Linked DNA regions of Styela clava. The protein of the gene in region 1 interacts with the protein of each later gene in a pairwise test. Links are inferred from orthologs where the notes say so. Each region holds a gene or a part of one and is shown in the gene's direction. Other genes may lie near its edges. The genes, in order: B9 domain-containing protein 1-like and B9 domain-containing protein 2-like.

Region 1 (12,648 bases):
GGTCACAGATATTTAATTCACGTTTGTATCTATAAGAAACTTCTGAAACAAATCTTATAAGCTGGTGTTGGTGTAGTTTTGGGCTTTACTTATGCAGCACTTCTATCAGGGACTTTTCATGGCACTCAGTTTTATGATATTAGAGTACGAAAAAAACGCATATGAATTACCAAAAACGTTTAGGATGATGCGTTAAATTATTTTACGGTTCTAGTGTTTGGAGGTAATTCCGCTTTGATAGTGTTATAATTTTCGATCAGCTTCCAACCACATTAGGCCACTTTTACACTGCCCCATTGTTATACCAAATTTCTAGATTTTTATTTCAAGGCTGAAAGTTTGTTTTCATAACGGCATTGTAGGCGAGAAACTAATAAAATGCAAAGTAGCATCTAGTTCTCGTATAACCCCTAAAACAGTCTGCAGATAGATGCACTTTCAAATAAGACGGACGTTGCGAGAAATGAACGGATCAATTGCATTGTTATGTCATAAACGATGTCAGGCCCAATAGCTGCATAACGGTACACAGCGGTGCATACATGCGTACAAGATTAGGGGTTTTGAAAATCACCATACCAGCCCGAAAATCAACATTTTGAACATGAGCGATCGCAGCTCTCCCTGACTGTACAACTGACGGTACATTATAATAGTTTAGTAATTGTTAGATTAATTTAAAGCCGGTTTTATCAATTTTTATCACTGATATGTTAGCATTTTTTTTTATTTCATTCGTGCCTTCGCTTGGCGGGTCACAAATAAAACGTGGTGGGTCACTTTGTGACATGCGGGTCAGTGGTTCGCCATCCCTGGCCTAGGCCCTAGGTCAATGTTTACCATTACCGCACCCATCCTGTGCTGGTGAATGAATTATGATTGTCCAAAGCCTTGTTTGAGATAAAGCGAGCAAATAAGAATCCTATACTTCAAATCTCGACAATTTAGTCAGTGAGTCCTGTTAGACCTTCACTAACTTTCCATAACTTGGTACCTATCGCAGGATCAGTTGCCACGGCGTCAATTTCAATGGGTCTCAACTTCACGAATAATTTTCCGCTTCGATCTTCAATTCCTTCCTCAAGGCAACAATGCAATGAGGACTGAGCGCCATAGTAAGGAGTCATTGATGCAAAACCGCAAAAAAATTTGTTAAAATAAGCCCACAGCAATCCACATCTTTGTGCAACATCACGTGCAAAACTGCTATCTACATTGCCAGAATGAACAGAGTATGTCGTGATTGCAACATTTTCACTTTTCAATCGTTTATCCAGCTCACTTGTGAAATATATATTCATAAGTTTAGTATTTGCATATTTAAGAAATATCTCTTTCATCCCACTGTTAGAATTAACAACTGGATTCAAATTATTAAAATCAATTTTTCCTGCTGCGTAAATTTTTGACGCTACATTAACAATCCTTACTGGATTCTTTTTTGAAGTTTTTCTCAATAAGGGCAACAATAAATTCGTTAATAGAAAAGGTCCCAAGTGGTTAATGCCAAACATCATATCAAAATTGTCCTTTGTTTTCCCATCTGTTATTATTCCAGCATTATTGACCAAAATATCAAGTCTTTCTTCTTTTGCGATAAACTCATTTGCAAATTTTCGGACATCAGCCATTTCTGCTAAGTCCAGCTTCATGAAAGTTACCAAATCGTTTCCACTTTCTAATCGGATTTCTGTCACTGCTCTTTCAGCTTTTAAAGAATTTCTGCAGGCAATAATTACTTTTGCATTGTGCTTCGCTAAACCAGTGGCAGTTTCCTTTCCAACACCAACATTTCCTCCAGTGATAAGCACCGTCTTCCCAGTTAAATCTGTGTTGCTGTCACATACTGGCCCAATTTTTATGGATTTTATCCAAGCACCTATACCAATTGTAAGTACTACTACTATAACAGCTCTCAGGGAGTAGTTTAATACATCTTGTCCCTCAGTTCCTGTTTTCACAGAATTCATCCAAATGCCAATAGCAATTGCAAGAATTGCTGCTGAGATTACAAGTTTAAGTGACATTTTATTAGTTGTTCAATATCACACGAATCATGGAAATCTATAAAAAAATATTAATAATGTTATTTTTTTTATAAATATATAATATTGTTACTAATAATAGGGGCTATGTTCACAACACGACACATTCCGTGTCAATCATTGTCAGTTCATTAATTATTAAACAATTAAGACGAATTGTGGTAGCGTGAAACCGGCTAACTTCGGATACCTTGTAACTTCGGATGAAATTTTCAATCGTTCATATCTCGACTAAATTACGTCATATTGTGCTTCTGACAGTTTCCATAGTGAGTCCTTATATATCTAAATCTGTTATCATATTCAATCGCGCAATTTAATTTATTTTCTGATTAAAAAATCACGTTTTACGATAAAATTGACACTCCGTTTTCGAGCGGCTCAAATCGTGACTTCTACTGATGCTAATTTCCTCAAACTACCGTCATTCGATAGAGGGCGATAACAATGTATATGGAAAATTAGATTGATCGCAAGATGTCGCAGGAGACTCGATAAAAAATTTGAATCCAAATATTTTTTATATATATAGATGCCGAATTCAGAAGCACAAACCGATTTTTGATGTGTTTTTCAAATTTCTATGTGATATCCGTGATAGTGAAAAATATTCAGCATTTAAAAATGGCAAACTTCACATACATAGAAAAAAATGGAATTTATTTAAAGATTGCAGTAATGTTATTATTGTAAACAGATGATTGTTATTATATTATTCTAACTATTGTATTAAGTTATAATTTATGTATATGTATAGGGTCATCTGGGATGACATTGTTATTGAACACGTAGTGGACATATCGATCGTTTTGCATTTTATGCAGGCAATCCTCTTCTTTTTGTTTTTCGTTTTTAAAAAGATAAAACTTCTCTCCAGAAGGCTATTACTTTTTTTCGCTATGACGTCATCAAAATTACGTGGCCCCACGTGTCCATATATTTGAGCATAGCCCTCCTGTTTAATTATAGATAAAATGAAAATTTATTTATTAATATTGTTTACTGCAATAATTTATCAAAATCTAAATGATTTGCCATGATATTGTTATGTATTACTGTGATGTATTATTTATTGATTGATACTGTTTATTGCAATTATATTGCAATATTGTTTTATTTTATGAAATGCAATAAAAAAAAAAAAAAAAATAAAAAATTTTTTTATTTATTAAAATAATAGCATCTGACGCACACGTTGAACGTTGACGTCACACTGACGTCGCTCACTTCGAAGACGACGTTATGTTGCGTCGCTGTTATAGATTTGACGCCAGACTAACGGACGCCGACGAGTTGGCGTGATTTGAAAATAGCAACGATATTTATACGGTAGTATTGCGCCCACTGTAATCAATTGTCCCACTCCCACTTTCTATAATTCAAGAATTTAAAAAAATCTCGAACACTCACACATTCTAGCTGGTAGTGCTAGTAATTGTAAATAATATAAAATTTTGTGTTAAATGTTTTTAAATTTTATTTGTTTGCAAAAAGAAATGGACCTTCCCCCGACCTTTGACCCTCGGAAAATTCTTCCTATACTTTACCATTGCAAAATTGTTAAGGCTATTTTAAGAGTGCTTTTGCGAGTTGGCGTCTGTAAAATGGGGTATGTGTTTCAAACCATCATTATGATTCATCGCATACAGCAATCTGTTTTCTAAAAGTACCGGTAAAGAATTTCAGGCTAGTCTATCACAGCTATTTCTACACTAATTTTTATTACTGCAATTGAATTAAAACTCCTAGAAAGACAGAGTGATCATTGAATTATCTGATTTTTATTTAAGTTCCCAAAACACAACTGAAAACTAACGAATAGAGTTCAAAAACGCGAAAACGAGGTAATGTTTACAATCACGCTTGAAAATCTGTCTGAGTGGGAAAAGTGTCTGAGCGGATGCGAAAAGGGGGCATTGTTACGTCACTTTTTGCATCTAGCTGATTGGCAAATGTCACGAAGTAAACAAGGAAGTCGATGCTCGGGGAAAGGTCCATAGTGACCGACGACTAGTAGCCATTGTTCTCAACACTAGTTGTCGCCAAAACACTTCATTAGAGTTATTTTCGTAGGACAATTTTGAGGTCGAGGTCTGTTCAAAAGGTTTATTTTCCAGTCGCCACTGAATTGGCGTCACTGGTTGGCCATTTCAGAAAAAAATGGCTGGCTCTGGGGAAGGATCAAAGGCATGGAGCAAGATTAGGTATAAACAGGACATGCCCCCGCCCGGGGGCTATGGAAGGATTCCATATCTAAGAAATCTTCCCGTGCGTGGACCCAGCAGTTATGGAATATTTGGGTTTGCTATTTTTACATTTGGTTACGGCTTCCATATCATAAGAAAAAACATGAAATTGGACGAATTTGAAAAACGGGAAACACGACTAATTGAAATGACATATCTCCCGCTTTTGGAAGCCGAAAAAGATCGTAATCACCTCAGAGAATATAAAGAAATAATGGAAGCCGAAGCACTCAACATCATCGGAACTGGATCAGACCCTGATCATGTGGTAGGACAACACGAATGGGAGTCGCAAAGATGGCGAGCACCGTATCACCAATACCCAGAAGTGATCTATTCATGGACTCGTGCCATAGATCTGTGGTATCACCAATATTTCCGAAAAGATGTTCCAGGACCTTAGACTCTCCATTTATTTGATTTCAGAATTTGTTATTTGAGTGTTAGTTTTTATAATTGGATCCATATTCAAATGCTTTGGTACTTGTTCGAATTTTATCATTAGTCTAGTTGTTCTAAATTGGATTCCTAACAAATAAATTAGTTTTTCAGCAGCTCATTTTGAAATAGTAATTTATAAAATATATAGCAATGAACATATAAGTGTGTAATACTTTATCATGTACCTCGTCAAGTTTAGCAATTAAACCCAATAATTGTTAAATTGTAAAATAGCTGAATTGATACTACCTTCCTGTTGAATACATTGTTCCAATCATTGATTCAGGAACTGGCAAAAATGTCCCGATTCTAAAACTCACCAGATCGAATAATTATATGTTTCACATTACCATGAGATCGTTACTACAGCTTGATAAACCCTTTTATAAATCCTAGAGCTATTATGGCTAAAGTCTATGGCTCTAGCTATTATGGAAAGAGAGTAGATTTGTTAGTGATGTTATTAAAGTTATATTATGCTTTATATGATTCACCAATCCAAAGTTTGCTCTCAAATTTTGTTTATTTTGAATATGATACTGTTATTAAACACTTATCATTCTAAATGACATTTTCTGTTTATTCTGAATGTGTTTACTTGTTTCAAAAATATTTAGATATTATTAATAATTAGAAATATATCGTTGGTGAAATGGCCGGATTGAATCCAAACCCAGCTGTCTTTATGTTGATGTCAACAGGACAAATTGAAAGTGCTGTTGTAAGTTGCATTCACTTTTTTATTTATATCATTCTTTTATCGTTTCTTTTTATGCTCGTTCATGGATTGAAACTTTTAAATAAACTAACAATAAGTATCTATTTTGGAATTCATACATTAATAATTCAGTACATCAAGTTATGATTAATGCCAAATTTTTTGTGATATTAGATTCAAAAAAATTTTTGCTTAAACAAAAAAAATCTTTCGAGACTAAATAATTTTTTTTTTTAAATTAGGCAGTTTTTGAATATTCATTTTTCATTCGGTATTAAGGTAACCAGTTCTCCAAATGCCTCAGATGTCCTGCTGTCACTTCAATAATTTTTGAATAATCGAAAATTTCTGATTTAGCCCAACATACACAGTTTATTATACTTCAGATTCGCAATTAAAACAAAGATGGGGCACAGTTCCTACACTGCCAAACATATTATCTCACAAACTGAAGGTTTTATGACTATTGTGTTGAAATTCTACTGTCAAAATGTGACAAGATTTTTGTGTATATTATATGCTATAGAGAAGGGTTGCGAAACCCATAGCACATGGGGCAAGGTTTTTGAACAAGTGGTCAAAATATTTGCCCACCTAGACTGCCGGCCGGCGGCCCAGTTTACGAACAATATTTACAGAATTATTTCAAAACTGAATTCATCGGCATCGCAATCTCAAGAATTCCTTGAGTTAGTTTTTTTAGCTTAAACATCTAAATTTGGTTTTAGTTTGTCTGTTGCAGAATCAGGCGGGGCCGGATTTGCCCATGTCAGCATGCGCCTCACTGTTTTGTGTACCCCCTGCTTTTGAATAATCGCAATCACTCCTGTGTTTTATCAGTTTCCAGATTTTGAAGAGTTATATTGCAAGTTTTCATTCATTCATGGTCAAGACTGGGCAGTGACTGCTGGATTAGAAGAAGGCATCTCACAAATCACAAGAAAAAGTCGAGACGAGAGACAACTATTTGTGTGGAATTTCCCTCTGGATATCACATATAAAAGTACAAATCCGTTTGGATGTAAGTTTGCATGTAAATCAATTTTATTGCATGTTAAGTTGACCTGTTAGAATCAATAAAGTTTGAATTAAATATTTTTGCCGATGTACCACAGACCATAATGTAAGCATAACCTGGAGAATCTAGTTTTGTAATGCGTACAATGTTTATTCATGCCCTGCGCTCTAAACAGTCCCACCCTCAGACCCTTCCCCCTTGCTACGCCTCTGTCTTAGAATATGCGGGAGCTACTATTATAAGGATTAGTTACGATTCAACATTACCTACCCAAGGATGGGAATGAGATTTGAAGTCTTAACATGTAATCTGCGATTTCAATGCAGTTTAACACACCAACAGCTAGGCAATCACATGAATTCCATCTTCTTCATTCTATCATCTAACAGGGCCTCAATTAGTCGTTAGCTGTTATGGTCCAGATGCATTTGGTCAGGATGTCGTCAGAGGATATGGAGCCACACATGTGCCCATAGCACCTGGAAAACACTCAAGGATTATACCGATGTTCGTGCCCGAATCGTCATCAAAGTTACAAAAATTTACAAGGTTTGTTTTCATCTTATGACACAAATGTGACCAACATTCGTCAGATTTCTGACTTCACTCTGTTGCGATTATGAGTCGGGGTTAAACAAGACTCCCTGTCATTTGTGGATTTGTATCGTATGATGCAAGGATGCTGTAGCAGTAATAAAAATGACCTTACTATGTAATTTAAGAGTCCTGCTGCATACTCAAGTCTCAAATGTATTTCCCTTTTTCATATTAGCAGTTTACAGCCCTACAGGAATACATTTCTGTTGGGCGCTGCCGGACTCTTGATTTACTGATTGCCTTACGTTAATATTACGCTTTTGAATCAATGCTGCAAAACATAATATCTCAGGACTAATATTTTATTTATTTGGCTGGTATTGATTAAAAAGGGCCACAGTTTCAAATATTAATTTAATTCTGCACTAGTAAAAACACGAAACCTTTTGGTTTTATTTACAGTATATTTCTACAGTTTGCTTTTTATATCATAAATTATACTTTGTGCGAGACAGAAGAGTTAACGAATTCCTATTCTTCAACGAGAAATTTTGTTTTGAATTGTTATCTTGTTTTTAAATCATGCCTTTTCTTCCATCAGTTGGTTCCTTGGCCGACGTCCTGAATTCGTAGATCCCAAGGTCGTAGCGCAAGGTGAAGGTCGTGATGTCACAAGAGTTCGAACACAAGGTCATATAAAGGTCAGTCAACTATAGTTGTTGCACATGTATAAAGTTGTTATTTTACACACTGCGGAGGTTGTTGTTGGAGAAAAAGCTCAATTCTTCACAACCAATGGGCCAACCAATTTCAAATTTTCAGTGCTCAAAGATGAGAGAGTCTTTAGGAAGCTATTGCCTGTATTTTTCGTCAAATTTATGTGTCATAAAGCATGCTATATGTTACCCAAAATGTTTGCCGTGTTATTTTAATTTGACGGGTACACTATTTATTTCGTATCACTCGACTGTCTCTGCATAGCTTGTCCTCTGATACTCTCAGCCTCAGGATTACCATACCCGTACCAATGTGCGGCCTTGTGTCCATGTATGTGAGGATTGCTGTCCTATATGATGTCAAAAAAAAAAAATATACTTGCTATCTGAGAAAGAGATTATGCTATTCTTGTTAATAATCCTGATGCATTCATGAAAGCATCGTCAAGTCCATGCACATGAAAATGAGTAACTGGCTGACTAATTCCATACCCAACTTGGACTGATAACCGGATGGACTCAGGCCGTGGTTTGCCATATGATTGAGCCGCCATATTGTCTTTCTTCACTCCTGTGTCCTTTTCAGCACATAGAAATTTACTTTAAGAAATTTGGCTATCTGTAACACACTTTATAGCGTTTCACATGTTTATGGCTCTCCAGAAGTGTGTGTACCAAAATCTGAATGAAGTTATGGCCCAACCCTAACCTGCTACAAACACTACGGGAGTACCCACTTCATAGTTTTCAAATTTTTCAGGTTACTTTTAATGTTGTAACAAGAGATATGAAAAAGATGGGTTATGATGTCACGCCTGGTGAACCACTCGGATTCGATGCCACGCAATCTCAGCCTGGTGCTGTTGCCACAATGCTATCGTGACATTCCAAAATAAGATACTTTGATTGCTGCTTATAACCACTGTGGCTGCTAGTTCAGGAATGTTTTATATTTGACAGAATTAAATATAATTATGTCTAGTGGAAATTTTTTGAACATTGTTTCATAAATAAATCTTCACATACTCAAATCTTCAAATGAAACTTTGCTGAATAATATAGGGTGCCATAAAGTCTAGAAAATATTTGAAAATGCAAAGGGAATTTATCCATACCATATGGATATGGATTGTTTTTGCCTTCACAGATGTGTTAAATGAAGTAAAAATACCTAAACATTACTGTTTAAAAAACGACAAATCTGGTTAAGATATATTGAGAACTGACTTAAACAAAATTGAAATTGTAAAGGGACTTTATGAACACCCTGTATTTTATAAACTCTTTATATACTTTATTTGAAAAATAATTTAATATCTAATAATTAATATCAGGATATTATTGTAGAAAACCATATACAAATATCCAATGGTTTGCATTGTTGCACAGGCACTATGTTCAGTGCAGCCAAATTTAAATCATTTTTTTTTAATTTGAGAGTACTTTTCGGACTCTATTTCTAATAAATTGTTTGGTGTGCAGAATCTATTTCGAACTAAGAACTCATAAATTTAAAGTCATTCTAACTCAAATTTCAGAAGAGTTTAGGTTACAAAATGACTCTTTTTCCCCGCGTGGTTCATGGTGCATTTTCAACGAGCAAAAGTATCTAACAATTAGGGTTACGTGAAACTACGGTAACTACGTTTTCTCACTCTATGCCTTTGGGCAGGTGGTTCCGTATGCAAATGACAATTCTATTCAATTCAAGATTTTCGTAACAAGGTTAGACGGATTGTTACAGAAATACATTTGTGATAGTTGGCATCAAGGCTCTTGAATTGAAAAAAGAAAAATATGGTGCTATTTACCTTGAATATTTCAGGCAAAGAATGGATTATTTCAGGTTTCGTTAACTAGATCTCTGCACACTTCCCACGTCAAAAGTGGTGCCATCTACCTTATTATTAAATAAATACTTGCTTCTCAATTGATGACTTCACTAAGCTTTGGTGATTTTCTTTTAGTGTTATTTGGTTTCCTGGCACTTTGGTGGTACTTTTATTGTTTCAACCTTTTCATATAATGTAGATGATTTTTTACTATTTATATACCTAATAGATATATTATTCTTGTATGCATTTTGTGTTTTCTTGATTCTGAAATCTGCTACGTGCAGAAATGAGCAGTTGATTATTGGCTAAAAAATCTAGGGTTACCATATTTTTGTGACTTCAAAGCGGGAAGCCCCCAGAGACAACGACCCCCGTAGCTGTGATTTTGTAACTTCACATTTTCACCTTCAGTAAGTAGGCTAGCGCTGCCCTACACAGAAACAACAGTAACGAGAACATGTTCGTGTATCATACTGGATAGCTGAACGCCAAAGCGGGACTTTTGGCTGACTTGTCGGGACGACGGGACAAGACGCTAAAATCGGGACTGTCCCGCCTAAAGCGGGATGTATGGTAAGCCTACATATACTCCATCCATGCATCTGAAAACAAATAACTAATCCCATACCGGACATGGACTGAAAACTGGACGAAAGGCCATGATTCGCCCTATGATTAAGCCGTGTTGTCTACTTTCATCTCTTCCGGGATAACTATTTGAATCCTACCCTAATAGCAAAGTGTGGAAAAGCGAATAATCTGGAAATAAACAACCTAAAATTAGGTTTAACCTGTGTTGAATGATGCCACCAACTGCATGCGAAACAACTGTTGAGTGATTAACTTTGAGAATAGGTAACATGTTATTTGGCCTGTACATACTCTGCTTCGTCGTTGGTCTTGAGGTATGCGCACCAAGATGTCGCATAACCAGAACCCTAAACTGGTACACAACCTGAGTTCAGGTTGTGCGCTATCTTGGTGCGCATACTTCAGGAGGTCCGCTTCGTCTTACGGTTGGTTTGTTCGATATCGTTAAGTAAATGTGGTAGCTAAAAAGAGACGGTGAGATCGCCAATTAAGTTGGCGCCACAGGGTAGATTACTGGGGTTCAAACAGGTTCACCGTCTTACCCAGACGCATGACCGAGACAAAAGGATTTGGTCGTTCCAAAAACAGTAGCTCCTTGCATCAGTACCTGCATTTCCAGGGTCATGTTCAGGGCGAAAGCCTAAAAAATGGTAAGGCAATAAAATGATTGGTAAAAATAAAAACTGATTATGAAATCAGGAGAGCAAACAAAACCTTACTTAGTTTAAAACGTACAGAATGTATGATAGAAGGTTTTGCCAAGAAGAAGTGGTACGTGTTCACTCACCAAAAAAAATTGAAATATTTCACACACGCTCACACACAACCATACAGAAGGTATAAAGTAAGAAGAACATGATAAATTACATTCTAGTAGTTAACAAATAAATAAATAAAAATTATAATCATTTCTTTATCATACAAAGGTCAGTGATTACCTAATTTATATAACAAAATTCAAAGCATAATGATAAATAAGCATAAATTGCTTGAGTATACTGACCATAACGGCGAATAGTTTCATTCTGCTATTTTGAAGTCCTTTTATGCCCAAAAACGCTCATGGACGCCCAAAAATTTTCTGTGTAACTCGGTTTGGATTTGGAAGTCGGAATGCGGCACCGTTTCGCCCACAGACGCACCATGACGAATGTGACCATCCAGCCTTTTATTTACACAATTTTATCGATGTTAGTGGTATTTGGCAGTGACTAATGTCGACTGCGCGAGGGTTGACTCTACACTGATAGAAAGGCGTTATGTTTTTTAATGGGGATTCCTGGTTTCCGTCAGGCGAAAGAGAATTATTAACACTGCCAAATATCATAGGCGGTGGAGTTATTCTGACTATTATTGTATGGGTGCGATTTTTTAAACGCGGGCCCGTGTGCAATAGCAAGAAAGACCTAACGGGAAAAACAGTGCTTGTGACCGGTGGTAACCGTGGGATCGGAAAAGGCATCGCTATCGGCCTTGCGAAATGTAACGCAAGAGTTATTATTTGTTGCCGAAATAATGACAGAGGTTGTGAAGCAGTGAAAGAAATACGGCAAAAAACTGGAAATGATCAAGTGCATTCTATGAAACTTGATTTGGCAGATTTTGAAAGTATCAGAGAGTTTGCTGAGGAGTTTTTGAAATCTGAAAGTAATTTGCATATTTTGGTGAATAATGCAGGAATTATTCTAGAAGGAAAAACTAAAGATGGGCTTGATTTGATGTTTGGTACAAATTATTTAGGACCGTTTCTGTTGACTCAATTATTGATGCCTATTTTGCGGAAAACTGCTAAAAAATCTCCTATTAGGATCGTGAATGTAGCATCAGAAGGGTACAAATTTGGGAAGATAAATTTTGACAACCTGAATCCAGATATCAATCGGAACTCAACTGGGCTTCAAATCTTTAAGCAATATGCTAACACAAAATTGATGAATGTGTATTTCACAAAAGAACTGGACAAAAGATTACGTCAAGAAGGTGGCACTTGCAATAATATTACTGTATACGCAGTCCACCCAGGAGCTATTCAAACCCACATTGGAGCTGATCAAGTTAATAAAGGAAGATTCTTTAGTTGGTTATTTAGAAAAATGTTTTTCGTGCTTTTCTGCCGTTCTTCTTTCTACGGATGCCAGACCCCGCTTTATTGCTGCTTAGAGGATGGACTCGAGGAGTCTTCGGGAAACTACTTTACCGAAATGAGGCAGCGAAAATTATATCCTGTAGCTACTGATGAAAAAATCTCTTCCGTATTGTGGCAGAAATCTATGGAGATGTGCCACTTGGAATAATAATGCAATTGATTGACGTAATACATTTCTAATCTACTGTCTAGGTAGAGAATTGATATATGTAAATGACCCGGTGAGTCTGTTATACTTGTATCAAACATAAACATAATAAGCAGTTTAAGAGTGATTTACCTTTCGTAATTGTGCAAACAGATTTGCTCTTATCTTATCTTTGCAATTTTGAGGCAGCTTCTTTCAATGTTTGTA
Region 2 (12,049 bases), on another chromosome or scaffold:
TATTGATTATTTATTACAAATACGACTGTTCATAAAAATCCTCTCACCAAAATCAGAAACTGCACATGATACAAGTTGTTGGGCTACAGGACTGTATGCAAGAGCTTGTATTGCATCATTGTGTCTGTGAATAAAAATGAGGTTGGTTATAGAAAACAGAAATCACTTATTTGACACTGCTTATGCCCATTGTGCAGAATGCAGAACTGTAAACCAATGAAATACAAATAATTTTGCGGTACTATCCCGAGATCAATAAAGAATAATAGGAGTCAATCGTATTTTTAAAAGTTTGGAAATTCCAAAAAGGTTAAAATAAACAGTGATTCATTCATTCAATGATTTTTTATCCATTTTTTACTATTTTCAGAAGTTAGATGCTTTGTTGCTGATACCTTGATTACTCAACTTGGTTATTTTTAAATAAAAATATTTAAAACTAAAATCAAGAATTTTATATGAATCATTTCAAATTAATTCCAATATTAGATTCGTTTGGGACATCCCTGCTAGGAACCAATAAGAGCATACGTGTATTTCAATATCCCACTCAGCGAATCAGTCCATATGATGACACTTTTGTCTGCTGAGCCAGAAGCGAAACGTTTACCTTTAAAAAAAAAAGAAAGAGTTTAAAGCAGATAGTTATTCATTCAAAATTCTATATTATACCTTGCTAGGAAGAATGTAAATTAGAATCATAATTTGATATAGGAATTGTGGGCTGCTATTTACAATGCTTATTGAAACTTTTCTAAGCAGATTTCGTTGAATTGTGAAGTGTTCGCAAAGCAATTTATATTGTACAGAGAAAAATTCATGCTAGTTGTCAGAAAGATACCATGCCAATTTTTTTCCCACTTTACTACTGTTTCATTTCAATCTAAATAACACATCTTGCAGCTAGGGATGGGCAATATAGAATACCGAATCCGGAGGATTCGAATCCCAAAGTATTCGAATCCAACGGGATCCGATAACAGGATTCGGTTTCCGCCTCTCCGGCGCCAAGCGTCATTTTTTTTATTTCGGGTTTCTAATTTATCAATTATAGACGAGCGTTTTTCTCGCGTGGAAATCTCTCTCGTTTAATTAAACTTGCGTCTGCTCGCAAATAACCCGTAAATCGGTGAACATCAAACACTGTAATTTCAATCGGCATATTCAGGACAAGAAGTCGGTAATATAACCTCACAGCGAGAACTCGTTATTGCACCATTTTTGCGTTTTCTTTCTTTGCTATCTAGCTAGCGTTATTTGTGCCGACTTACTGGTGATATTCCGATAATCTGAATACAACAATCTTTAATTGTTTACAGACGTGCCTTGCCTCATTTTAAATTAAATGATTTTTCGCGACCTACGAGTTTTCCCAAAAAAATGATGCACGTAAGCCAAAAGCCAGGCGTTAAATGTTATAACATTAATTTAGATCAAATATTATTCACGAATAATTTTATTGTACCATTTTCCGAAATACAAAGTTATATCGCAAAACGCAAACATCTGTCACATTTAAATTTCACTCTCAAAAAATTACATATTTTTCGGTCCGTTTCTATCGTTCAAGATAGACGCACGTTTAATCAAGTGTCTGTAGTATTTTAGTCGCCGATAAATTTTGAAAAAAGTTGCCGCATCTGGCGAAGATAGTGACGTATTGAATTTGAGTAGGGCTAAGTCTGGGTAGATAATGATTAATGATAACATTTCTATCGTTCAAGATAGACGCACGTTCGATCGAGTGTCTGTAGTATTTTAGTCGCCGATAAATTTTGAAAAAAGTTGCCGCATCTGGCGAAGATAGTGACGTATGAATTTGAGTAGGGCTAAGTCTGGGTAGATAATGATATGTAACGATAATCATAGAAAATGAGTTCGTCTTCAGATGTTATTACCTAATAACTAAGTACGAAATCGCGTTTACGGGAACTTGGTTTTACGTGTCTTGCTCTCACAGAATAAAAAGTTGATTTTATTTGATAGTGCTTAAATTTAATATTTTACAACGGAGCATAGGTTGCAGTGGCCACATGCTGGTTCAGCATCTAATTAATTCTCAGCGGGTATGTTTTAGTATACTCGGCAGACTTACATTAATAATGATTTAACGCCGTTGCATGTCTATTTTGTATTTAACCGCTTACTATTAAAGTGTGTAAAGCGTGTCTTAATTTAGCATATCAGTATTTAGGGATCACATACATTTGGAACAATTGAAGGCAAAAAATATTGTAATATTCCTAAATTCTATTGTCCTGGGAACTGCCTGTTTAGTATCAAATGAAGTCCAATGTTCAGGACATTTCCAAATAGATAATACATTTATAGTAAGTAATAACATTTGCAATTTTTTACCATCTAAATCCAGCAATGTAGAAATTCCTACTATTTGAATAAGTATGAAAATAGAATAGGATTCGGTATTCTGGATTCGATTTAACTATTCTAGAATATTCTAGAATAGTAAATTATTCTACATTGCCCATCCCTACTTGCAGCTTAATAAAGATCTATTTTACTGGTTGGAAAAAACAAACTTGACGAAAGAGCTTACTAACAGATATTTCGCATAATCAAAAAAGAAGTTACAACTGTGTACAGAAGTTACACTGTTAACCTGTCTATAAATAAACCACAAAACGCAATAAAAAATCTCTCACCATCTCTAGAAAAGGCGACACAATATACAGAGTCCTTGTGTCCTTTAAGTGATTGTTCCAGTGTTCCATCACTCGGATCATAGACTAAAACTCTATTTCCCGCAGCAACCATCAACTGAGATCCATCGGGTTTAAATGCCAAGTCATATATGCTGAAAGAATAGATGTACAACTAAAACTTTGTAAAAACATTCGAGAGGAAAGTAAACAAAATGGTCACCGGTAAGTGATTTTGAACAATAATATTCTTGATTATTATACCAAAATTCATATTCTTAATATCAATTTTTTATAAGAAATAAATTACTATGCTGTACCATTGTCCAGCAGTTGTTTTGTCCTGAACTTTATCCAACCAGAGAGGAACAGATCGCATGATAATGTGTTGCTGAAAACTTGCTAAAGTGAATTACTGACATACGTGATACATTTATATGGTGTAAAATTGTCTAAAAATGTGAAAACATTTTTAAGTAAAATAGTATAAATATTTCTACTATATTTACTAATGAAATATTCTAATCCAATAACTCAAACTGGTTAAACTGTTATGGCTTAATTGGTTGAAGAATGAGAATTCATATATACAACATGGAAAAAAATCCTATTTCAATTAATGAATTATTGTCAAAATAATTACAGAATACAAAACAGGAGGCTGTAAATTTACATTACTGAACGGTGAGCTCATTTATTCGAAACACACTAGGTAAGTATATGCTACCCGTAAGAATTTTTTTTATAGGTATTTCTTGCACTTTAACGCATTTCGACGACTAGAGCAGAGCCGAGCTGAAAGAGAAATATTTCAACTCGCCAAATTAACCCTCTGTGGCAGATATAAATTATCGCCAACAGATATATAAACGCTGTGGTTTTATTAAATTTTATAAATTGTTTTAAAATATTTGATATTAAAAAAAAACATATTTCATTTCAAAATTGGCACAAAACAAAAACAAATAAAGCAAAATTCCAAAAATATATTAAAAAATAAACTTCAACCTTTGTAACCAAAGGGTTTAAGTGGTACCGCTTGATTTAAAATTAATGCATCAATGCTCCAGGATACGCGGTTTATTTGTTGTTCTGCGATTCTGGATACGGTTTCTTTAGTTAAAATATTTATTCTAAATTCCGGTGTTTCATATATATAATCTTGTTTTATTAAAATATTTATTCTAAATTCCGGTGTTTCATATATATAATCTTGTTTTATTACATTGAGAATTACCTGTATGGCTGGATATAAATGTGATCAATGAATAACGGTTGAAGTACTGAAATGAATGTTTGTATGCTAATGCTGTAGGTACCGCTACATAGTTATTTATTTTTGTTCCTATATAAGTATGTTTTGATTTTCCCGAAAAAAAATCATACACAAAACACAAGAATGAACACACAGAAGATTGCGAAAATTTGGGAAACTTGCAAAACTTTTATAAAGGTACAATACATGTAAATAAACATGCGCATTAATAAAGAATAATTGTCATAGCTGCCAATGGGAAATTGAATGTATGTTCAGTCCAGGTACCGCACCCTAGTAGTGTATTGACCGGCTTCAGTTTACTATAGACTGAATAAGTGAAATATTTTTTGAATAATAAATACCATTAAAAGAATTAATACCATTATCTAGCAATGTATTTCATCTGTCATGTTGTGTCATACCAGAACCTCTCTATCCAGTTATTCATAGATGTTTAACGATTTGGTCATGTTCGATAGCAAACAATGTTTTAACATTAAGTTAATACTGTGCAAAAACTCCATATCGAATTCCCATTTTTATTGTTCCAGTATCGAACGACTTTGATATAGCTAGGCTATACTTGGTTTGTCAATTGGGTACTCCTGAAGTATGTGCACCAAGATGTCGCATAACCTGAACCTGGTTACCAACCCGAGTTCAGGTTGTGCGCCATCTTGGTGAGCATACTTCGGGAAGTCCGTCAATTGTTCCATACTATTATATTAATTTGTTTTTTTACTTTGCCTTTAAGATTTATCATAAATATGTTGAACCATTTATAAACAAACCATGGCTGAAGTCCATATTATTGGTCAGTTAACTGGGGCGAGTGAATTTCCAGATCATAGACTTTTCTGCAAATGGGGAATTCACGCAGGAGGTGCCTGGAAGTTGATAGCAGGTTCAAAAGATGGACAAACTCAAGTAGACAATCCACAAAATGAAGAGTTCGCTGCATTTTGTCATCCAATAGACTTGCATTACGCAACTAAAGGACTTCAGGGCTGGCCACGTCTACATGTGCAGATTTGGCACCATGATGCATTTGGGAGAAACGAACTATACGCTTATGGATTTGTTCACATTCCGTCGTCTCCAGGACCACATGAAGTTGAGTGCATGACATGGAAACCCAATGGAACATTTAAAGAAGAATTGATGCAATACTTTGTTGGCGGATGCCCACAATTGAAAAATCCAGAATTAATATACAGTGGTGCAGACAGGTATAAATTGCATACAACTGCTATGGGAAAGGTTCATGCACAATTGAATGTAATACTGAGAAATTTTGACAAATTTGGCATTGAAAGTTAGTCATATGTAGCGTTTTCAAGATATTTTTGTGACATATTATTGTTTCTGAACCAATACTCATACTGTGAGAAGTGTAAGGTGGTATTGAAAGAAGATGTTGAATTAGTGGTATTCTATTGAATGATTTCTTTAACATATCTGAGAATAATGTAGAAAATCAACATTCATATTTCTGCGATATTACATCCCCCAATTCATTTTGAAATATTTTTGAATTTCTATTTTGAATAGTAGAAAATGGTTCGGTTTGACCATTAATAGATATATTCATGATGGCACTTTTCGCAATAATGTTTAATCTTCAAATTATCCATTATAAATTGATAATAAGAGCGGAGGATTTATATAATTTTGAGCAAGGTTGCAAATGTGGATTTCATGTTTTCAATGTTTATACTGTTGTAGTAAATATATATCTGTTAAAATTGTATATTAATAAATATGACTTACTGTATATTGTAGGAAATGTTTCAGCTGGTGAGCGACTTATCTATATCAATTATGATATTTTTCATTAGCATTCTTATACCAATAAAAGTTACATTATTGATGGAAAGGGCCTGCGATTACTGATGCTCCTCAAAACAGTTTTGAAATATATAAACTACATATCATAAAAACACACTTCATTAGCAAGTGGACGTTGACTCAAATATATTCCTTTGAAATGAACCATGGCAAATTTTCTGATTTGTCAGATATAATCAGATTTTGAAACGTCTCTAATAATACACAATGAAAACTGTAGCTCGATGACACTTGGAACAATGATTTGCCTGATATGATATTTGACTTAACGGAACATGCGAAAATGTAAGGTTAACTAATCCTATTCAGCATTGGAACTAAAGCACATACACTGTATTGTAAAATATATTTTGTTTTGTTGATATACAATGCAGAAAATTTCATGAAACATGAATAATTTCAGTACAGCCTCAACAAATTTGAAGAAATATTTCCAAGCAGTTAGTTGTCGAAGAGAAACACGGGATAATGTTCATCATCACCTTGCAACTTCTATCAAATATCAGACTCATTTATTTATGAAAATAATATTTATTGCCAATCTTGAAAATCATGTCTGATTTTAGAGCATGAGAGATTAAAACACTATCACGGATCATTAATTATAGTGGGAACACCACCTTCATCAATGGAAAAAAATGATATTTGTCCATAATCAACAACTCCATATTTGACTGGGACACTATTTGATTGTCTATTAATAGTAATATTAGTCAGTGTATCAAGAAATTCGTCCTGAATTGTTGTTACAACTATCCTACAAAATGGTGTACCAGGATTCGTTTTTTTGAAAGGTAATGAATCACTCTTAAACACATTATATTTAATAGTACAAGTTTGGTTATGTTGTTGCATGTTTTGAAATTTCTTATTAGATGCATCATTGGTTAGTTTTATTTCTTTGACAACTTGATCAACACTAGTTGCCTGTGATGGATGTAATAAGGGTTTAATATTGCCTGAATGCATCTTATTGAGCAGCTCAAAATGCTTACCAGTCTTTTTATGCTTGGCTATTTTCACCATTTTCTTATATTCAGTCCATGTTTTTGCCCTCCGCGCAATATCATTAAGGTTAATCATATTTGAATGTTGTGGGTTTCTTTTTTCATTGACATAATCCTTTTGGATTCGTTGAAACCAGATTTCTTCAATATTATACTCATGTGTGTCAATATTTGGTGGTATTAGACTTGCATCTGGCTTTGGCAAATGCGTATATGACTTATTTGATAGATTGGGAAAAAATTTTGCATCTAATATGAAAGTACAATGGGAAAGTGAATATGGAGATAATGCTGGAAGAGACTGCATATTCCAACCTCTAGATGATTTTGGAGACAAAATTTCTTTTGAAACTACCTTGTGATCTTGTTTGGATTGTTTTGAGTTTCCTTCTTCGAATTCATCATCCTTAGGAAGCTTTCTTTTATTTGCTTTTTCTTTTTCCACAAGTCCAGTACAATTGTCATCTAACGAGTACCTCTGGACAATATATCCTCGTTTGACCAAATATGAATACACCTGATAATCCTGTAAGCTACAGCAGCTTTTATCATTGTTTAGTATAAACGAGTAAGCCTCTTGCAGTGCCAGTGGGACACCATTTAAAGTTAACTCTAAGTCACCAATGTCTAGTAGGAACAATGCCTCTTCACCAAAAAGGGCAAAAAATTCACCATTATGATGGCACATGCTTTGCATGAATTTACCTTGCTTTGTGATTTTTGCTACTCCCAGACTTTCCATCCATTCCGCACTTCCCAGATTACTCAATTTCCTGACTTTTTCCGAGTGTAGTACAGAAGCATATTTATCCAATTGTGTATTCACCTTACATTCTTCAACAACAGTGTCACTGGTTCCAAAGAATTTAGGGCCACCTTTAGATGGTAAAGAGTTGGACTGAATCCCTGGTCTCCAGGATAGCAATCTCTCAGCAGCAGAGATTTCATCATCAATGTTTCCATTTGACATTAAATTTATCAGCTAGTGTAAATATCGATTGCGCAATCGAAAAAATATAAATCGACTTTCATGACCCAAACTCTGATGTATAACATAATTCAGTAATTAGTTGAAAGAGGAATATAAATAATCTGACAATCTCTTGAACACAGCCATTCAGACATTGCAATTCTGTGAAACGTCAGCGCCTTTACCAAAAAATACCGGCTGTAAGATAACTTAGACAAAAAAGCTGCCCTCATCTTCAGTGGTGGTAGCATGAAAGTTCTATCAGTGTTAGCGAAATTAGGTCATGTGTGTCCAATTAGGGTCAGTCAGTCCGATTACGGCCAGGGTAATACGGTCAATGACACCAATTCCCGTAACGCAATTCAATTCCATTCTTCCGAAAACAAAAAACTGGCTAACTGATCCCATGCCCGACCTGGACTGGTAACCGGACAAGAGGCCATGGTTCGCCATATGATTAAGCCGTCTTATCGGCTTTCCTCTCGACGGGATAAATATGTAAATTCAATTTTTTTTTTAGATTGGATTTTTTTTTAGATTAGATTTTAGATTGTAAATTCTATCCTACATAGTTCTGAATAACAGAGGCAGAGCCCTTGTTGTACACGCACTGACTGTGTTTCGGTGGCGCTAATCGGACACACATTGACATTTCGCCAGCCCTAGTTGAACACTCACTGACCGCAGCCTTCATGGTAAATTTGTCGTCATAAATTATACCATTATGCTCAGTTGCCGAAACCAGATATAATTCTGATACCACCAAATACAGTAGAAAACTCTAACTACGAAATTGATTTGTTCCGGACGCCCGTTCGCAAGTGGAAAATTCCGTAAGTGGGTACGCATTTTAACTGTAAAGGCCCTAATACACACAGAAAGAACAGTGAAATAACGAATAAAAACTACGAACGGTATGTTTGTGTACCTTTGTTTATTTACCATTGTCATTACCAATGAAGGAGAATTAGGACCGGAGAACGTTTTACTTTTTCATTTTTCGAGGCGGCGCTGAGTTAAAAAAATTTCATGTCAGCTGTTACGATTTTAATTAATACCACCGACTTGAACTGAACGATATTGTCATCAACGACGTCAGGATCACGATAAAATCCGCGATACATACTAAATAATATTTGAGAGCTACTTTATACGCTCTGAATTGCGAGAAATGAAATAATTTCCGTTATGTTCGGTCACAATCGAAACGACAGATTACAACAATTGATTACGACACAATTTTCTTTTAGATTTATGGCCGAAGCCGCACAAACTATCTCGACTAAATTGAAATAGGAATAACAAAATCTATTTTCACGAAATAGTAAGTTTATTTATGAGCTTGCGTTAGATCATAGTTTAACTCCTTCATATAAAACAAGATATGGCTGCAAATGATAAAGATCAATAGTCGGTTAGAAATAATATACTAAAAATACGAGAATATTAGAGATGAATGGGTTGAGTCTGTCTCTATTGTGCTGTCTAGACTCTAGTCTAGAAGAATGATATTCAGTCGACATTTGAAGATGTTCCAGTGTTTGTTTTTGAACTTTTTTGTATGGTTTGTTGTTGTTTGTTTTAGGTTCGTTTTCGTTGAGTTTCAGTCTTTTACGTTGATTCCTTGTGGTTGCCGGGTTCAGTACACAGTACCCTAGCTAGTACACCCTAAATTGAAATATATGATAATAATTGTAAACTAATTCCAATCCAAAACACCCTCGACGTGTTATCCTTTAATGTCGGCTATAATTTATGTCAGCGGCCTTCGAATGCGATAAAAAAAATCTTAAATGCTTTTAAATCAAAACGTGGACGGCGGCGCTAGGATACGTGCGCCATATTCATATGGACACGAAAAAACGATATTTGAAGATCGCGATATTCGAATATTGGATTTGGAATCCCTACATTAATCCTAGGGAACCTACGTAACACCCCTATTACACGATCTTACTAGTAGTTGGTCAAGTCAGATAGTGAATACGATATCAGAAAAGACGAAAACAACGGCTTTCAGGTTCATAATATTTTCAAATAATGATTACATAGTTTTTTTTCTAATGAAGCATTACACAACTGATCGCTCACAGACACCGAAAATATCTTCTGACAAATATCTTGCTCACTCATTGATCGAAACAAGTAATATAATGTTGTTCTTTGTTCTCATTTCGTGATATTTCATTTTACAGGTCGAGTCCGAAAGTTCTGACGACGACGATCCTTTGACGAGTTCACGAGTGCAAAATCAAAAACATAGCCAAAAAGAAAATGCAACCGACCGCAATGAGTTTCGGTGGAGAAAGAAACATTCCGATAGACCTGATGCAACATTCTCCGGCCCACAATTGGATCCTCCAGCTGACATGATTGTAGATACGCCATTGCGTTATTTCCGCCGTTTTGTGACAGAGGAAACCTTTTTATCAGCTTTCCATTCATTCAAAAATTATAAGAGGGGAATGCAATATGTTAGCACCGTGAGAAAAAACCGCCTACCCAGCTGTAACCTAGACGATGAAAAAACATTAAAAAGGAAGGCAGGGGGGAATATGACTTCAGAGTTGAGTAAAAAAATAACGTAATAGCCGTAAGCTGGTATGACAACAGGGCAGTATCACTACTATCTTCGTACGTAGGAGTGGAGCCAATTGATCAAATCAGACGATGGGACAGACGAACGAAGCAGCATGTGCACATAGCCATGCCTGCTATTGTGCAAGAATACGAGAATATCGGTCGGAGACCGAAGACTTATCGAGCGAAACTGCGGGTTTGATCCATGACCCTATAGTGACACCGCGTGTCCCAGCACTAATTAATTATTAACTCGCTAATTATACGACACAATTCATCCAAAATAAATGAGCTTCTGGTTCAAGATATGATGAATGCACATGCAAAATTTGGAGCAGATGCAACCACGCCTTCGTGAGATATCGCGTGCATCTAACAGACAGACAAACAAACAGACAAATACCTATCAACATACTTACCGATCTAAAGATCGAAGAGTAATAAGTTTATGTGAGGTATTGATAAATTGAATTCATTTCTTGCAAAGTACAGGTTTCGAATGAAATCAAAAAGATGGTATCTTTATCTCTTTTGGCATTTCATAATTCAAAGAATTCGAAAAGATTCTGTGGATGGAAAAAGAAACCCACAATACCTGTGGATACTCAATCGACTACTAACTCTTGACGATGCTATTTTCCTCCATCAATACGCATATAACCAAGAGTTGACTGACTGAGAATTTTAATTGTACTTGTGTTATTATTACAAACGAAATGACTTTTACAAGTTATTTCAAGCCACTGTCTGGACTCTTGAAGGAAGAAGTTTTATCAATTGAAAAACAAAATGCTGGATAAACACGTCACCAACAAAATTTATTGCAGAATGTAGTAGATTCCACTTGTTTTAAAAAATAGAATGAAGTAAAAGCATTCAAAATATTTTGGCAGCAAATGTACAAATCAGCATGTTAATTAACTATACCCAGCTATAGAACAAGTTTATTTGAAATCGCATGTATTAACTGAATTTATTAATATGATTTTGGTTTAGCGACAATACTACTGCAACATTTCTGTACATCTCTATCCTGTTTCTCAATTCTAGTGTTTATAGGAGTTCCAGTGTGACTAAAAAATTTTCTTGCATCACTTGAGGTCATTTTTTTCCAGATTTCTTTATTCCACCTTGTGCTGCAATGCATATCAGTAAAATATTAAATAAGATTTATGAAATAAGTATTTAATTTTAGTATACCAAAAGACGAACACTCATTGAATGTTCCTAATGCTTTTTCATTTTGTCTTACTTATAGTATACCTGGGGAAACCAGAATTGAATTTTTCATTATGCTTATCATGCAATTATGTTGGTATTGCAATGTCCAAATATTTGTTTAATCATTTATTCCAGTATTATAAGTTTTTTTGCTCCGAAGGCCTGACAACCCCCTGTGCAAGACTACACCGATTATCTATCGATATGCAAGAAGATATTATTTTTGGTAATTTAGGGTTTAGAGATACCTTGAATACTTCCAGGTAAAATATAAATACACAAAGATGTTGTTTAACATTCTAGGCAATACACACAGTGACACAACTGTCCTAGTATATTTATTGAAGATAAAGTAAATGTCTGACTAATCAACAAATGATTTAAATAACACCCACAAAGAGGTCCTTTGCCAGAAGCTTTTGCCTTCAGTTCCTGTAACTTTTTTGCTTCTTCTCTCTGTTTTTGCTTGAATGCTTTTTCATCATCGTCCATATCTTTTTGTTCC

Evidence for each region.
Region 2: the proteins of B9 domain-containing protein 1-like (region 1) and B9 domain-containing protein 2-like interact in a two-hybrid assay, tested with the Caenorhabditis elegans proteins (3 studies listed by BioGRID). The link is inferred for Styela clava from reciprocal best matches to the Caenorhabditis elegans genes mksr-1 and mksr-2.

Annotation. Positions count from the first base shown.
Region 1 is NC_135262.1:3,161,993-3,174,640, reverse strand, and holds B9 domain-containing protein 1-like, read left to right. Parts: upstream 1-5,329; 5' UTR 5,330-5,384; coding exon 5,385-5,453; intron 5,454-6,290; coding exon 6,291-6,471; intron 6,472-6,857; coding exon 6,858-7,017; intron 7,018-7,606; coding exon 7,607-7,706; intron 7,707-7,716; exon of another isoform or gene 7,717-8,071; intron 8,072-8,481; coding exon 8,482-8,604; 3' UTR 8,605-9,572; downstream 9,573-12,648. Other genes in the region: NADH dehydrogenase [ubiquinone] 1 alpha subcomplex subunit 13-like, read left to right, coding at 4,206-4,694.
Region 2 is NC_135258.1:12,597,243-12,609,291, reverse strand, and holds B9 domain-containing protein 2-like, read left to right. Parts: upstream 1-4,668; 5' UTR 4,669-4,710; coding exon 4,711-5,238; 3' UTR 5,239-5,941; downstream 5,942-12,049. Other genes in the region: intraflagellar transport protein 122 homolog, read right to left, coding at 48-124, 532-610, 2,664-2,815, 2,981-3,039; tRNA-splicing endonuclease subunit Sen54-like, read right to left, coding at 6,355-7,743; translation machinery-associated protein 7-like, read right to left, coding at 11,425-11,459, 11,940-12,049.